Arabidopsis thaliana: one gene and its partners. The protein of the gene in region 1 purifies or fractionates together with the protein of each later gene. This does not show direct contact. Each region holds a gene or a part of one and is shown on either strand. Other genes may lie near its edges.

Region 1 (4,822 bases):
TTCGATCTTTATCACACTAATAACAGTTTAATGGCTCGTTCAGGCTCACACAGGAACAACTGATGGCGAAAAACTCAACTTGATACGAACTTTAAGTTACGAGAAGCTTTCAGGAGAATCAAGAGCTCACATTTCGCGTAACCAAAAGTTTCAGGCTATTGAGACACTAGATGAACAACAACAACAACAACAACAACAACAACAACAGAAGCAGCTCATACTCAGAATGGAGAAGGTTGAGACTTCAGGAGAAAACGAGAAGCTGAAGGAACATATCGAAGGGATTCAATGGAGGGTAATGGAATTGGAGAGAGCTTGTTTGAAAATGCAGAATCAAATGGAAGTTATCAAGAAGAGATCCAAGAGCTCGAGCAAAGGAAGTAATAGATCACTTCCTAAGCTCTGTTCTTGATTAGTGAAGCTGTAAGCTTACGATCATATTTGTACATAGAGTGATAGAGAGCATAAGGAGTCAATTATAGTTACCATTTGGTTCTTATGTTTCAGAGTATTTATCTTTTCTTGTGTTGTTTTCTTTGTCACAAAGTTGTGCGTAATGAAAAGTAAAGATAAATTCGTTTTTATGGAGATGATACAAACTTAAATCTATAAAATTTTCTTGTGAGATTAATACCAAGAATGCAAAACAAAAATCTAGAATTTTGATTCTATTCTTCCTTAAACGTTACTCTTTTGTGATTCCAAGATTCTCAACGTGTAATTGCGTTTACTTAGAAGATAAAACAGTTCTTTTTGACGAGGCCGTTACGTGTAAAACTTTGCGCGACAAGTAGAATGCTTAGTATTCAAGTCATGAATTGAAGAAATTCAGACTAATCTAAAGAGATAAGAATAAAATATATCTGTTCCTTTGATCGACATTAGTAAAAAGATGATGCATTGAAGATAAATTCATAACATTGTCAAATCTAGTTTCATCGCCAAAGGTAACTTCAAAGTTCAAACCAAAAGGAAAGCTGTAAAACAGAGAACTACAAACATAAAGCGGAGACACCGTACCAGGCGAATAAGACTAGAGATACTTTTGGGCTTAAGATGTTTCAGCAGCGGGTTGAGTCACACCGTGCTTGACCAACAGTTTGGTGAGCGACTCAGGTGAGTGAACATGGTACTTAACAGTCTTGGATGGAGTCAGATACACTTCAGCAAGCTCTAGCTTCTCAGATGTTAAGCTAGTGCTGTCCATTGTCTTGGTCAGAACCTTCAAGGCAAGCTCGACTGCTTCTTCCCTGGTTGCATCGTCCTTGTAGTCTTGTTTCAGGATAGACTGAGCCGCCTGATTGTTTGCTCCAACAGCTGCAGCTTTCCAACCACCATAGTTCCCACTCGGGTCACTCATATAAAGCTGGAAACCATGGTGCTTGTCCCATCCTGCAAAGAGAAAGGAGACACCAAACGGGCGAAGACCACCAAACTGTGTGTATCCTTGTTTTGTGTCACAAAGAGATTGAACCAGCTGCTCAACCGGCATGGGCTCTTGGTACATGAAGGTGTAACGTTGAGCTTGAACTCGAGCCGTGTTGATAAGTATGTTAGCATCAGACATTATACCAGCAACAGCACAGGCAACATGGTCATCAATCTTGTACATTTTCTCAGCAGAGGTTGAGGTTTGAAGAAGCTTTGAGGTGACTTTCTTCTCACCGATCAACACAACACCGTCTTTGGATAAGATTCCAATCGCAGAACCGGCGTTTCCAATGGCCTCCATAGCATACTCTACCTGGTAAAGACGACCTTCTGGCGAGAAGATTGTGGTACGGCTATCATATCTCCGAGACATTCTTTAACACCTGCACCACAACAAATGCATTGGTCTACACAACTAATTCATACTCCATTAGACACAGGGCAAGTTCCGAAAACACGAAAACTAGGGTTTTCGACATCACAACGATCAACAAACACAATTGATTCAGATTAAAAACTAGACTAAAACTAGGTCAAGTTTCTTCAATAGAAAGGAAATGAACTAGCTTTATAAATCTATGTTACTTTGAGATCAACACAAACCTAAAGTCACAATCACAGGAGCGAAGAGAAAAATCGAAAGATAATTCAACAATCACTGATGCCCATATAAAAACACCTAAAAACTAAACATCACCCAGAATCGAATCTAGCTAGGGTTTATAAAATTCTATCAAAAGTTTGAAGATTTCATAAGAAAACACTTCGCTCAAGACAGATCCAGCAAAATTAAACAGGAAAGGAAGATACACAGATTCTGAAAATTCTAGGAACAAGTAGGAGAATGAAAGACATTGGATTTAAGAGAATACCTGAGAAGAATTCGTTTCTCTCTCTCGTTCGGTTCTTCTTTGATTTTGCTGAGAACTTTGCTCTCCACAAAATTTATGAGCTCTGAGATGTGAACTGTTCGACAAGCCAGAAAGAAAAGAAAAAAAAAAGGTGTTTTTTTTTTGTGCTTTACAGATTAGGCCCAAAAGTGTAATTTATGGATAAGAAAAGGCCCAAATTATATAATCAAGCCCAATGCAAGATCCATAACTCGGAATCTCTGATATATCTTAATTTTTGTTGTCATATGCTGATTTTTTTTTTTTTTTTTTTTTTTTACTGATATGTGTATAGAAATATAAACTAGATTCATTTCTGACAAAAAAAAAAGCTAGATTCATTTTACGTGGATGTATTTATATACACATATCAGTAAGAATATCCCTTTTAGAAAAAACATTTAAATGTGCACCTATTTCATAAATCATAATAAGAATGTAATGTTATATATATTCACGATGTTAAAAGAAAAGTAAAAATGTAGTATTTACAAACTAAATGTTTTGTTAAATCCCTGGTACGTAGTAACACACAATGTATGTTATTTGTATAAGAAAATACATAGATATATCTCTTGTAATGTATGATAAACAATTGTCACTAACAAGATAACTAATAACACACTCTAAAATATTAGGGGCTTACTTATTTTCTTGAAATCTTCATAAACAAATCAAAATTTTGTAATCTTATCATATATCTTTTTTATCAAATGTTTGGACAAAAAAAAATGTGATAGATAATTTTTTTTTAGCAAGAGTATACGTGTATACAGTATAACTAAATTTATACACATGTTCTTGGTCAGTAGCTGCGCTGTGAGGCGCATATGCATCAGTGCAATGCGCATGGGCCATGGCTACAAAAATCACATTTTTTCTACTCCAAAACGTACGTATGTACATAAAAACAAATTAGACAGATACAAACTTGTTCATATTAAAAAAAAAGTTATATCGTTTAACAGTTTTTTTTTCTTCTTCTTAAAAGTACAACATAACAAGAAAGCCCAAAGAAATTGAAATCTCAAACCCAAATTACAACGCCTTTTATTGTATCAAATGAAACATGTAACTAAAGGTCGCACATATGCAGATTAACCTCCCATTACCAAATAGATCATGAAACTAACAAATTTCTTGAAGAAACGAAACTTTTGGAGTCGTCCAGAGACTCTCAACGTTCTACATCGATTAAGCGGGACATTTGAAGTCAGATGGTGGAGTTTTTCCACAGTCGAGAAGAAGCTCAAGAGCAATGGGGAGAACAAGGTCGATGTTGAGAAGTTTGAGCTTAATGGTGGTACATAGACAAACGGCTGCGTCTAGGTCAAGTAAACCTCCTAAAACCGGACAACATTCTGCCTTGGCGTGGCTTTTTCCAAGTCCGATGTGAATCAAACCTCCAAGAACGTCCACACAAGCGCCTAGCTTCAGCGTGTCAATTGGGCAAGTCTCTGGAATAGGCGTAGGAGGAGTTGGTGTTGGTGGTGTTACTACGGGTGGTGTTGGTGTTGGAGGTGTCACGACGGGTGGTGTTGGTGTTGGTGGTGTAATGACGGGTGGAGTTGGTGTTGGTGGTGTAATGACGGGTGGAGTTGGCGTTGGCGGTGTTACGACGGGTGGGGTTGGTGTTGGTGGAGTTATGACGGGTGGGGTTGGTGTTGGCGGTGTTACAACTGGTGGAGTCGGCGTTGGTGTTGGTGGTGGGCATGGTGTAGGCGGAGGCTTGTGGTGGGGTGGTTTCGGAGTAGACGGAGGAGGCTTGGTCGTGGGAGGTTTAGGTGTGGACGGGGGAGGTTTGGTGGGAGGTTTAGGGGTGGACGGAGGAGGCTTGGTTGGTGGCTTTACGATGGGAGGTTTTGGGTGGGGGTGAGGTTTGGTGGGTGGTTTAGGGTGGGGTGGTTTGACGGTGGGTGGCTTAGGGTGGGGTTTGACGGTTGGTGGTTTAGGATGGGGTTTGACGGTTGGTGGTTTAGGATGGGGTTTCACGGTGGGAGGTTTTGGAGTAGGTGGTTTTACTGCCGGTGGTTTAGGTGGTTTGACGGCAGGAGGTTTAGGCGGTTTGACTGGATGTTTTGGTGGTTTGTGAGGTGCTGGTGATGGTTTAGGAGGGGTACAGTCGCAAGCATAGGAGACGGCAACGAAGCCAAGGAGGAGGAGGACGAGAAAGGAGAGGTTTTGAGAGCGAGACCCCATTTTTTGGAATGAGGGTTTGGGTTTCTGAAAGGAGTGAGTAAGTAGATACATGAGTGTACGTGTACCTTTTATAGAAAAACTCTCACGAGATATTTAATTTTTATATATAAATATTGTATGCACCAAATTGTGGTTTAGATGATTGAAATTGGATTTGAGTAAGCACGTATTAGGTCACTTTGTTACAAAAAGAAAACAAAGGGTTTGTCACACTTTCCTCAATTGGCATATATTTGTCTCATCCATATTACAAAAAAAATTACTGGGTTTAGCCACTATTTAACGTACGAGGGAACATAAAA
Region 2 (5,788 bases), on another chromosome or scaffold:
TCTCAGAAGAAAAAAGGGAACACAACACATACCGATCGGAAGGTGGCCGGAAAAATCGTCGGAGCTCCGGTGGTGAGTTTAGATATGTATGTAAACCGACCGTGGGAGATAGAGAGAGAGACTGAGAGAGACTGAGAGAGAATAATGATTGCGTAAAGCCGTAAAATCTGTAATGGTTTTTTTCTTGACGTATTAAGGTGGGTTTTATCAGTCTTTCTATTACACGGTACTGTACTTACTCTCTTAAAAATCTATTTTGTCGGTTTTTTTCCACGAAAATTATTTTCTTCTTTAAACTGATACACATGTATCAATATCCAAATGAAACACATTTTTATACAAATTGAAACATGCAATAAACTACGGAATATCTAAAAAACAATAAAATTAACGGCCCTAAAATTAATTTTAACTAAATTCTTTAATAAAATAAAATAAAATCATAAGTCTATAAAGTATTAGTTATTTTATGGTAGTTTAATGGTTAATAATTGTTTTTTCATATAGAACATAGGAATGTGGTTAAATTTCAGAATTTTAATACACTTTTAACTTAATTATTTGTTTATATGAGGCACTTTAAGTTTTAGAAAACTATAAACACATATGCAAAACATCAAACCAAATTATGTTTTTGCATGTCTTTTGTTGCATGCTCTATATATCCTAACTATTTTTGCTTAGTAGTCCACTAAATTGTTTCGTTTCAATCACAACCACTCAAGAAAATAATTACAATAGATTACTAAAACAAGTTAACAACAGTGTTATTTATTTACTCTTTTTGTCGTAATGCTTTAAATTACATGTCTCTTTCTTTTCATCGGACAACTGTTAGTGTGTTTTTTTGTACATCAGGACAACTGTTAGTTTACTCATGTTTTCTACATTGTACATTTTGGCAGTCAATTTTACGGCACGGTTTCCATTAAAGATATGGACGTCATCTTATGGTAAGCTGCATCTTTTGAGGAATAATACATGTAGACGTCCCTATTTATAATTTTTGTGTTACGTAACTTCCCTTTTGTTATTAATTAAGTGTGTTTATTTGGTCAATTCACTCAATCAAATCAAACCCAACGCCAAACTGCAACTATTTATGTGATTGACGCTTCAGAGTTGAAACTGCCACTTTTGTCAGATTTATTATCTCACTTCCCAACTTTTCTTTTCCGTAACTAGTGAATTTATTCATGGGAAACTAATTTAATGCATGGTATATGATGCGTACAACAAGCAATACTTATATGAAAAAAGATTTAGAAACAAATTGTATTGGCTTAACTAAATCAATTAATCATGTAGCAATTAGGTGATTTGGAGTCTATTCTCTGTTTAGAAAAGTAGTAACTGTTGTCTTTATGAGAGTTTCTGTTTTACTTAGCGGGTAAATCTACTCTAAGCTAGGTGTTTTCATCCACTTAACATGTATTTTATAATCTCATGGTTTTCACAAGTCTTAAATTGTACTTATTAGTTTGGTCTAAATATTACTCCCTTTGTTTCATTATATTGGATGTTTTAGGGATTTTATTTTGTTTCAGATTATAAGATGTTTTACAAGTTTAAATTTAAATTTAATTTGACTATTTGTGACTATTTATATTTTGCAGTTTTCATTATCATTTTTTTTAACAAAATCTAAATACTATTTTTTATATACAAAATGACCTAATATGTATCCATTTACCTTAAACCTCTTATATTTTAAAACAGAGTGAGTACATTCAGTAAGAGAATGGATAAAAACGAATTTGGAATACACAAACTATAAAAGTTTCTTGAGTACTGTTTCTATTATTGGGCCATAAACAGTGAGACAAACAGGCCCATAGAAGTAGGTGAAAAAGGCTTATTAAGATCAACGGTTCTCTCGTTACGAATGCAAAGAATCTTCTGGATCCTTTTTCTCTCAGCTACTCTCTCCATTTATCTAATAAACCCTAACCCCTCCTCCCACACTATTCGTTTACACTAACCACTTCCTTATCCACACCAATCCAGAACGTTCCTCAAAAAGCTCCCTCCTTTTCTCTCAAAATGGCGTCTGCAAACGCTCTCTCTTCCGCCTCCGTCCTCTGTTCTTCCCGTCAGGTACAAAGTTTGTTCCTTTTTACCTTCCTTAGCTACTTACTAAAGAAGAAAATGAATCATCTTTCATTACTTTGTTTTGATTGGATTTGACCCTTCAGTGTTATCTATTTTCAAAAACCTTTCTCTATCTGGTTTATTGGGTTTTTGAAGAAAGTGATTGAATTTGACCCTTTAGTTTGTTCTGTTTCAATTCAATTGCTTTTCTCTATTTGGTTTCTGGGTTGGTGAGAAAAGGTTAATTTTTATGGGAATTAGAAGAAACTGATTGAGATTAATGTTAATGAATCTGCTTTATTGATGTTGTGGGTATACAGAGTAAGTTGGGAGGAGGAAATCAGCAGCAAGGTCAGAGAGTTAGCTACAACAAGAGGACAATCAGACGTTTTAGTGTTAGAGCTAATGTAAAGGAAATAGCTTTTGACCAGCACTCTAGAGCTGCTCTACAAGCTGGTATTGATAAGCTTGCTGATTGTGTTGGTCTCACTCTTGGCCCTAGAGGTATTTGTTAATATTAGTAGCTCCTTTACTCTTTCCATCTTCATCTGTGTTATTTATCTTTCGACTTATCTTGGTGTTTTCATTTGTTATTCTTAAGGGAGGAATGTTGTGTTGGATGAATTTGGAAGTCCTAAGGTTGTGAATGATGGAGTCACCATTGCTAGAGCTATTGAGTTACCTAATGCCATGGAAAATGCTGGTGCAGCGCTTATTCGTGAGGTTGGTGTAGCTTTGTTATTGTCTCTGTTAATGCTATTTATACGGTGCGGTAATCTGGTGTTGTTATGTGGTAGGTTGCGAGTAAGACTAATGACTCTGCTGGTGATGGGACAACCACTGCGTCTATCCTTGCTCGGGAGATAATCAAACATGGATTGTTGAGCGTCACTTCTGGTGCGAATCCCGTTTCACTCAAGAGGGGAATTGATAAGACTGTTCAAGGTCTGATCGAAGAGCTTCAGAAGAAAGCTAGGCCCGTGAAAGGTCGTGATGACATCAGAGGTACTAACTTTGCAGTGACCTTCCTTGTGATGCAGCAATGTTTGATTTCTTTTACTGATCAATCTGTTCTTTTTTTTTTTTCCAGCTGTGGCTTCTATCTCTGCTGGAAATGATGACCTTATAGGGTCAATGATTGCTGATGCCATCGACAAAGTTGGACCTGATGGTGTTTTGTCCATTGAATCTTCATCTTCTTTTGAGACCACGGTCGAAGTTGAAGAAGGGATGGAGGTATGAGTTTTTTTGTCTTGCTTCTCTTCAACTGTAATTTTATTCACCATTCATTGCCAATGACTAACTTGATTATTTACAGATTGACAGAGGTTACATCTCGCCTCAGTTTGTTACAAACCCTGAGAAACTACTAGCTGAGTTTGAGAATGCTAGGGTATTGATCACTGATCAGAAGATCACTGCGATCAAAGACATCATCCCTATTTTGGAGAAGACCACTCAGCTTCGTGCTCCGTTGTTGATTATTGCAGAGGATGTTACTGGTGAAGCCTTAGCTACCCTTGTCGTGAACAAGCTTCGTGGTGTCCTCAATGTTGTTGCCGTTAAAGCGCCAGGATTTGGAGAAAGAAGAAAAGCCATGCTTCAAGATATTGCAATCTTGACAGGTATATGCAGATTTCGCGTGCGTTTAGTACTTTTACTTTCTCTCTGTTATGGTCTAAACTTTTTATCATTTTGTATGTTTTTCAGGAGCTGAGTACCTAGCCATGGACATGAGCTTACTGGTTGAAAACGCAACCATAGATCAATTGGGTATTGCCCGAAAAGTCACGATTAGCAAAGATTCGACTACCCTCATTGCAGATGCAGCTTCCAAGGACGAATTACAAGCTCGGATTGCTCAGCTGAAGAAAGAACTATTCGAGACTGATTCTGTGTATGACTCAGAGAAGCTCGCTGAGAGAATTGCGAAGCTATCTGGAGGTGTTGCTGTCATTAAAGTCGGAGCAGCAACTGAAACTGAGCTTGAGGACCGTAAGCTTCGTATCGAGGATGCAAAGAACGCAACATTTGCTGCTATCGAGGAAGGCATAGTTCCAGGTGGTGGTGCTGCTTTGGTGCATCTCTCCACTGTTATTCCCGCCATTAAGGAGACTTTTGAGGATGCTGATGAACGTTTGGGAGCTGACATAGTACAAAAGGTAGCATTTAGTTTTTCGGTTCAGTATTTGTTCTGTAACCAATTGTGACTAGTTATCTTATAAGGGTTTATGTTTTGAGTTCAGGCATTGCTGTCACCAGCTGCTCTTATTGCTCAGAACGCTGGAGTTGAAGGAGAAGTTGTTGTGGAAAAGATTATGTTCAGCGATTGGGAGAATGGGTACAACGCAATGACTGATACATATGAGAATCTGTTCGAAGCTGGAGTGATTGATCCGGCTAAAGTGACAAGATGTGCGCTACAGAACGCTGCTTCCGTAGCAGGAATGGTACTGACCACTCAGGCCATTGTTGTTGACAAACCGAAACCCAAGGCTCCTGCTGCTGCTGCTCCTGAGGGTCTCATGGTGTAATCAAAACACAACATCTTATCATCACAATGGCATCTTTGTCTTTTTGCACATTTGTCATCCCCATTTATCTGCAATGTTTTTCTTTTTTGGGGGAATATGAGTAGTTTGTTAACAGTATCGAGAAATAATTATCATCTTTTTTGTCCAATGGAAATTGCAGAAAATGGTTATGTATGCGACCAAACATTTTATATGTAGCGAGAGTAGTTTAGCAGAACAATAAGCAAATATGCGTACAAACTGAATAATGTTCCAACTTACTATACTATTAAACTAGGAGGGAACAATGTTTTTTCATGCCTTTACTAGTTTTCTCATAAAACTTGATCTGGATATTGCACTTCGATGATCTACGAACCATTAGCAGATCTCCGGTGATTCGATACTTCTCCTTGTCGTTTATTGCACAGGCACGAACTTTGACAAGCACAAGACATGACAGTTTCTCTATGAAATGTCTCATTTCCTCTAGCTCTTCAATTGTTCCTTCATATTCAGTTATCTTCAATACTTTCACAGGACATCACAATCCATATATTCTTGTAAAGTTAAGTATATATACAGGGAGATCAGACTCGTTGGAACCACTCGTACTTTGACTTGGAACTGCTCCAAAACTAAAAGAATTTTTGGTAGATGATTATGTATGTATCCTTCTCTTCCTCCTCTTCTTGTTCTAGCTTTGATGGACTAAAATACTAGTCAAAATTTTGCTTAATATATACCCCTTATTGCTTCTCAGAGATATATCTACAAAACCGAGGATCTTCCATTTTGATGGAATCAACCGAGTCTTGTTCCCGGATGCTTGTCATCGCAGCTAGAGATATTCGAGTGGAAAGGATATAGAGATAGAGTAGAAGGGGAAAAATTCTTGACATACATTTTAGCCAACTCTAAGCGTTTAAAGACCGCAACAATCTCTCTGCCCTTCGATCTTGAAGATCAAGAGGTGATCATCGAGGAGTTGAAAGATATTCCTAGGGTTTCAACAACATCTCACCTTTTGTTCATATGAAAATTCTATGGAAGCTTGGCGAATGGGCAAGCTTAGACTACTTATCTGCTATTATATGTTTTAATCAACTTGCAAAGATTAGTAACATAAAAAAAAATATTAAGAATTCTAGACAAGTTAGACTACTTCCTACAAACGTGTAGTG
Region 3 (5,439 bases), on another chromosome or scaffold:
AAAGTGGGCTCTTCATAGCTGACATAGGTCAAGCCAACAATATAACCAGGTACAGTTTTTGATTTATAATTTGAGTAATCATGATTTAAAAACATGAGCAATTTTTCTAATGAATTTTACATGGAAAGGTTTCCGAGGCTGTTAATCGATGGTCCATATGGTGCACCCGCACAAGATTACCGGAACTACGATGTATTGCTTCTAGTAGGTCTAGGGATCGGAGCGACGCCATTAATCAGCATAATCAGGGACGTCCTTAACAACATCAAGAACCAGAATTCCATCGAACGAGGCACTAACCAACACATAAAAAACTATGTTGCCACAAAACGAGCTTATTTTTATTGGGTAACAAGAGAGCAAGGATCATTGGAATGGTTCAGTGAGGTCATGAACGAGGTAGCTGAGTATGATAGTGAGGGGATGATTGAACTACATAATTACTGCACTAGCGTGTATGAGGAAGGAGATGCGAGGTCAGCACTAATCACCATGTTGCAGTCATTGCACCACGCCAAGAGCGGCATTGACATCGTATCGGGCACTCGGGTCCGAACCCATTTCGCTCGACCCAATTGGCGTAGTGTCTTCAAGCACGTCGCAGTCAACCACGTCAATCAACGAGTTGGTATGTCACTAGCTATTACAACAATTCCATAGCTATTGTAGAATCTTTCTAGTAAGTAACTGATTTTCCTTTTTCTATTTTGTTGGTAGGGGTTTTCTACTGTGGTAATACATGCATCATAGGAGAGTTAAAGAGACTGGCTCAAGATTTCTCTAGGAAAACTACGACCAAGTTTGAGTTCCACAAGGAAAATTTCTAGTTTCGATTCTATTCATCCATCAGACCATCATTAGAAAATAATAAGCAAAATATGTCAAGCTGATATCTATTATAATTATAACCACACTTTGAAGGGGTTCTAGATTCAAAAGTTGAGACTACAACTTGAAGTTTTCTATAATGTAAAGAGGAGAAAGAAGAGTGTACATAAAAGAGGACTTAGGCGTAGTAATTCAAGCTTGCTTTCTTCTTGGCTTGTACTTGAATTATACCTTCATTGAAATCCTCATGGTTCACCTGCACACACATTTACCATTTCCTCCATATCATCCACATCCTAAAGTTACAACCACTAAGACGAAAGATATATGCATACCTCAGTTGCATCCCGGCGCAGGGCAAGCATACCCGCTTCAACACACACTGCTTTGAGTTGAGCTCCATTGAAATCATCCGTTGACCGAGCAAGCTCTTCAAAATTGACGTCTGCATTCACATTCATTTTCCTTGAATGTATCTGTAACCCCATCGCCAACATTATGCAAAAACAAAACAGTACCCAAGATAAGTTATCCGCGGAATACATAGAAAATCACAGCAAGACTTGTCTAAGTGCATGAAGCTCTCTAATTTTAGCTTTAAAACGACATAGAAATAAAGAAAGAAAAAAGAAAAGATGCAGTAAAGGATACAGAACCTGTAAGATCCTGCCTCTAGCTTCTTCAGTGGGGTGCGGAAACTCGATTTTACGATCCAAACGACCAGAACGCATAAGGGCAGGATCTAGTATATCAGCACGATTTGTCGCTGCAATAACCTAAGTTTGTAAAATTATGAGTTTTTCATGCCTTTCACTAAATAAATAGACATTTGCAGGGGTAATATGAGGGGTAACAACCTTAATGCGATCATCGCTGCTGAATCCATCAAGCTGGTTGAGCAGCTCCAACATTGTCCTTTGTACCTCACGGTCTCCACTAACTTCGCTGTAAGCCAATTAAAAGTCAGCATTAGTCATCAGAAAGAAAATAAAATAGTTATGACATGACTCTAGATAGAGTACCTATCAAAACGCTTTGTCCCTATTGCGTCAATCTCATCTATGAATATAATACAAGGGGATTTCTCTTTTGCAAGCAGGAAAGCATCACGGACAAGTTTTGCTCCATCTCCGATGAACATCTATACATAAGTCTAAAAAAAGTTACTTTCCGTTTGGTTCAAAAAATATCACAGGAACAAGATCAAAATCAGTTACGTTTACTCTAGTTTTCATACCTGAACAAGTTGTGGCCCTGCTAGTTTGAGGAAAGTTGCATTTGTCTGTGCTGCACAAGCTCGGGCCATCAACGTCTTTCCGGTTCCAGGAGGACCATACAAGAGTACACCTTTTGGTGGACGGATACCCAACTTTTCGAACTGCTCTTTATGAGTCATTGGCAACACAATGGCTTCAACAAGTTCTTGTATCTGTTTAATTACAAAAACAGGAGAGTCACCAACATCAAATATTGTACCAGAGATACTAAAAACTAAGGAAACATGAAACAGGAGAGTCATCAACTAGCCTGTTTTTCTAGTCCCCCTATATCATTGTAGTCTTCAGTAGGTTTTTCGTCGACCTCCATTGCTTTTACTCTTGAATCATACTCAGAAGGTAAAGTATCCAGAATCAAGTAACTATCTTTGTTAACTCCAACTAAGTCCCCAGGCTTCAATGTATCTGGATCAACAAGTCCAACAACAGGGAGGAAGATGGTCTGAAAAGTATAATTAACCCATGAGATCATTATACAAACACTACACTAGTAGTCAGAGTTTGTTCCCCACTAGTTCTGAAAATCTCTCTAACGGTGATATAAGAGTCTAAAACTTCACCTGACGAGTTGATGTTTTTAGAACGACACACTTTCCCTTCCTCTGAGAGTCCAGATCGATATTCGCTCCATCTTCCTCTGCATCATCCTCTGGACTCATCTCAAGAATCTAGAAAGCACGGATAATAGATCAAATCCTAATTCCATCATTACACAAAAAAAAATTTGATGGTAAAATGTCTGAACTACTGTGGCAAAGATTCAAGGAATTCATCAGGCTAACACTACTAGTAATCAAAAGCATAGTACAATTGTGTCACTCAACAAAAAGGAATGTTATACATACCAAAACCAAAAGCCCCATATAAGGAATGTGAAACACCCCAAGAGAAGAGTCAGTGAAAGTACCTCAACGATATTGCCAACTAAGTAAGGAAGCTGTTTGTTAAGCTTAATCTTCTCCTGGTTCTCCTTTATTTTCTCCTTCACTGATTCCAAATCAAGGTTTGTCCTCTGCGATTCTTCCTACAACAAATCAACGTATTTGAGAGAAAAAGACATCAAAAAATTCTGGTGAATTTCATCCAATGAGCAAAAGACCAGTAAATATAAATGTCTTCTAATCATATTCTATAATTATCTAACTATAAAAACAAGTACTTTGAGTGAATTTCGATATCTTTGACTGATAAAAAGTGTGATATGAAACAAGAGTTATCGTTGCTCTCAGACATCATCCATCTTCTTCAAAACTAATCAAAGTGTCGCTAATCAAATTAAGGTAATAGTGAGCTTGGAATGAAGAAATATACTAGTTCCAAGTAGCCAGCAGATTAAAAATATAGAGAGAAGAGAGAGAGGGTGGTGACCTTGAGGATGCGAATCTCGTTGGCTAAGAGACGAGAAGCTCTACCGATGTCATCAGTAGTCATGGAAGCTAGTTGGTCTCCCTCGAAGCTCGTATCCTCCGCCATCGCCGTTGCCATCTCCCTTAGCAGCCTGAGTTAATCACTGTAAGAGTCTACGAGAGATCTCAGAAGACATAAATAGGAAACAGAGTTTGGCTTTTGGGCGAAGAAACAGCTTTAATTTAATAACACATGTATTGTATTAAATATTATCACAGTCAATACCCAACAACAAATCCGATGTCGTCCAGCGGTTAGGATATCTGGCTTTCACCCAGGAGACCCGGGTTCGATTCCCGGCATCGGAGCGTTTTTGGTTTTGTATCCTTTTTATTTTTTTCACAATGTATCTTATATCTATTTTAAAATCAAGTTATTGCTAAGCAATCTGGTCAAATTGATGATGTAGTTTTCTTAAAAGCTGACCAAAAAAGAAGTGAAGCCAAATGGAAACAAGTAAGAAACTGTTCAATATTCAAATCGGAAGGGTGAAGAAGAGAGTTGAAGATTGTATTTACTATTGCTAACGAACAAACACATTACAATTTTATCATAATATTTCAAGATCCTTTAAGTATGATTCTCCTAATCGCATGTTCACATTTACCAAGTGATTTGAAACAAGGCAGTCTGCGGCCAATGTGATTTTGGTCAGTCTATTTGTTCTTCTCCATGACGCCTGCAAATGAGTAGAGTTCAAGCAAAATACAAATCATTGTAAATACAAGCGTGCGTTCTAATGATTTGCAGGTAAGTTAGATGCATTTGTATTTCTTCATCAGAGATTTCCATGAATAAGATGGATTCATGCCTAGAGTAGCAATGGAGAGTTACGCGTGTCACTTACAGTATGATTTAGGCCAAGAAAACTTAAGACTAGACTCATACTACGCTTTTAATCCCTGCATTCTTGTCGAATTCCTCTGAAGGAACCACGTCCGCAATAATCTTTTCTTGACCGCGCCAAAGAATCTGCCAATGATTATGAGACCATCTTTAAAGCTTTAACTTGGAAAAGTATGAAAACAAATTCATCATTACGCACAGGCAAACATCAGGAAAAGGTAGAAGAGAGGGAAACTTGACTGGAAAGGTTACTTTGCTTGGTGACGATATGTAACCTTTAATCTTTTAGTATGTGCATATGAAAAGCAACATCAAAAAATTACAGTGCCCAAACTTACCCTGTCAATGACTCCAAATTCTTTAGCTTTTGGTGCATCCATGTAATATGGCCTTCTCATTACGTTAGCTACAGTCTCCACGGACTATATGACATATAAGAATGTTTTAATCAGCTATCAAATTTCTCCACAAAGTTATGAAAATATTTCGCACTCACATTCCCAGTATGCTTTGATAGTAGTTCCACAAGTATATCCCTATTTGTAATGACCTGCAATTGCATAACAGGAATGAGGAAGATGAAGTAATCAAACTCAGATTCTTCACCTAATTAGGTCATGAAATTCTGAACCAAATGCTTAAGTGAGAAATTTCTGTCCAAATTATCAGAGATATAATATAGGAAAGTAGGTAGAAGCAAAGCAGAAAGAGAAAATCTCGATCAAATTTAAATTTCCAGAATATTAAGTGTGTAGAGCGATTCATCAAACCTCTTTGGCCCGAATCAGGACATCACTGGCAGGCATCAACCCAGAAGAAGGTACACGTGGTTGCTGAATCATCGCTGTGACATAATGAATCAAACGTATGAGAGGTTCTGATTATCAATGGTGAGCCATAGAAGCGGCCAGAATGCAGTCGAAGTCTATACCTTTGGCATGTGGCATCATAAACCGTTTACCCTTGGTTCCCGCAGAAAGTAATAGACAGGCCTGACCTATGGCTGCTCCCACACATACTGTATGTACCTGCACAAATAAGAACCAACATGCTCACATGAAAAATACCGTGGAGACGAAAA

The links.
Region 2: the proteins of PAC1 (region 1) and CPN60A fractionate together in Arabidopsis thaliana (co-fractionation; one large-scale study listed by BioGRID). This does not show direct contact.
Region 3: the proteins of PAC1 (region 1) and RPT5B fractionate together in Arabidopsis thaliana (co-fractionation; one large-scale study listed by BioGRID). This does not show direct contact.

Annotation. Positions count from the first base shown.
Region 1 is NC_003074.8:7,791,768-7,796,589, forward strand, and holds PAC1 (20S proteasome alpha subunit C1), read right to left. Parts: upstream 2,496-4,822; 5' UTR 2,304-2,495; intron 1,815-2,303; 5' UTR 1,805-1,814; coding exon 1,052-1,804; 3' UTR 782-1,051; downstream 1-781. Other genes in the region: AT3G22104 (Phototropic-responsive NPH3 family protein), read left to right, coding at 44-412; CWLP (cell wall-plasma membrane linker protein), read right to left, coding at 3,516-4,571. UniProt on the Arabidopsis thaliana protein: The proteasome is a multicatalytic proteinase complex which is characterized by its ability to cleave peptides with Arg, Phe, Tyr, Leu, and Glu adjacent to the leaving group at neutral or slightly basic pH.
Region 2 is NC_003071.7:11,924,560-11,930,347, forward strand, and holds CPN60A (chaperonin-60alpha), read left to right. Parts: upstream 1-1,886; 5' UTR 1,887-2,043; coding exon 2,044-2,097; intron 2,098-2,411; coding exon 2,412-2,595; intron 2,596-2,692; coding exon 2,693-2,814; intron 2,815-2,888; coding exon 2,889-3,096; intron 3,097-3,181; coding exon 3,182-3,327; intron 3,328-3,409; coding exon 3,410-3,716; intron 3,717-3,801; coding exon 3,802-4,253; intron 4,254-4,337; coding exon 4,338-4,625; 3' UTR 4,626-4,929; downstream 4,930-5,788. UniProt on the Arabidopsis thaliana protein: Binds RuBisCO small and large subunits and is implicated in the assembly of the enzyme oligomer. Involved in protein assisted folding. Required for proper chloroplast development.
Region 3 is NC_003070.9:2,935,669-2,941,107, forward strand, and holds RPT5B (26S proteasome AAA-ATPase subunit RPT5B), read right to left. Parts: upstream 3,696-5,439; 5' UTR 3,591-3,695; coding exon 3,474-3,590; intron 3,130-3,473; coding exon 3,013-3,129; intron 2,774-3,012; coding exon 2,666-2,773; intron 2,548-2,665; coding exon 2,356-2,547; intron 2,258-2,355; coding exon 2,066-2,257; intron 1,970-2,065; coding exon 1,851-1,969; intron 1,774-1,850; coding exon 1,686-1,773; intron 1,605-1,685; coding exon 1,485-1,604; intron 1,305-1,484; coding exon 1,164-1,304; intron 1,085-1,163; coding exon 1,007-1,084; 3' UTR 860-1,006; downstream 1-859. Other genes in the region: RBOHB (respiratory burst oxidase-like protein), read left to right, coding at 1-49, 129-628, 718-827; AT1G09130 (ATP-dependent caseinolytic (Clp) protease/crotonase family protein), read right to left, coding at 4,063-4,191, 4,404-4,484, 4,697-4,780, 4,855-4,908, 5,129-5,202, 5,290-5,386. UniProt on the Arabidopsis thaliana protein: The 26S proteasome is involved in the ATP-dependent degradation of ubiquitinated proteins. The regulatory (or ATPase) complex confers ATP dependency and substrate specificity to the 26S complex.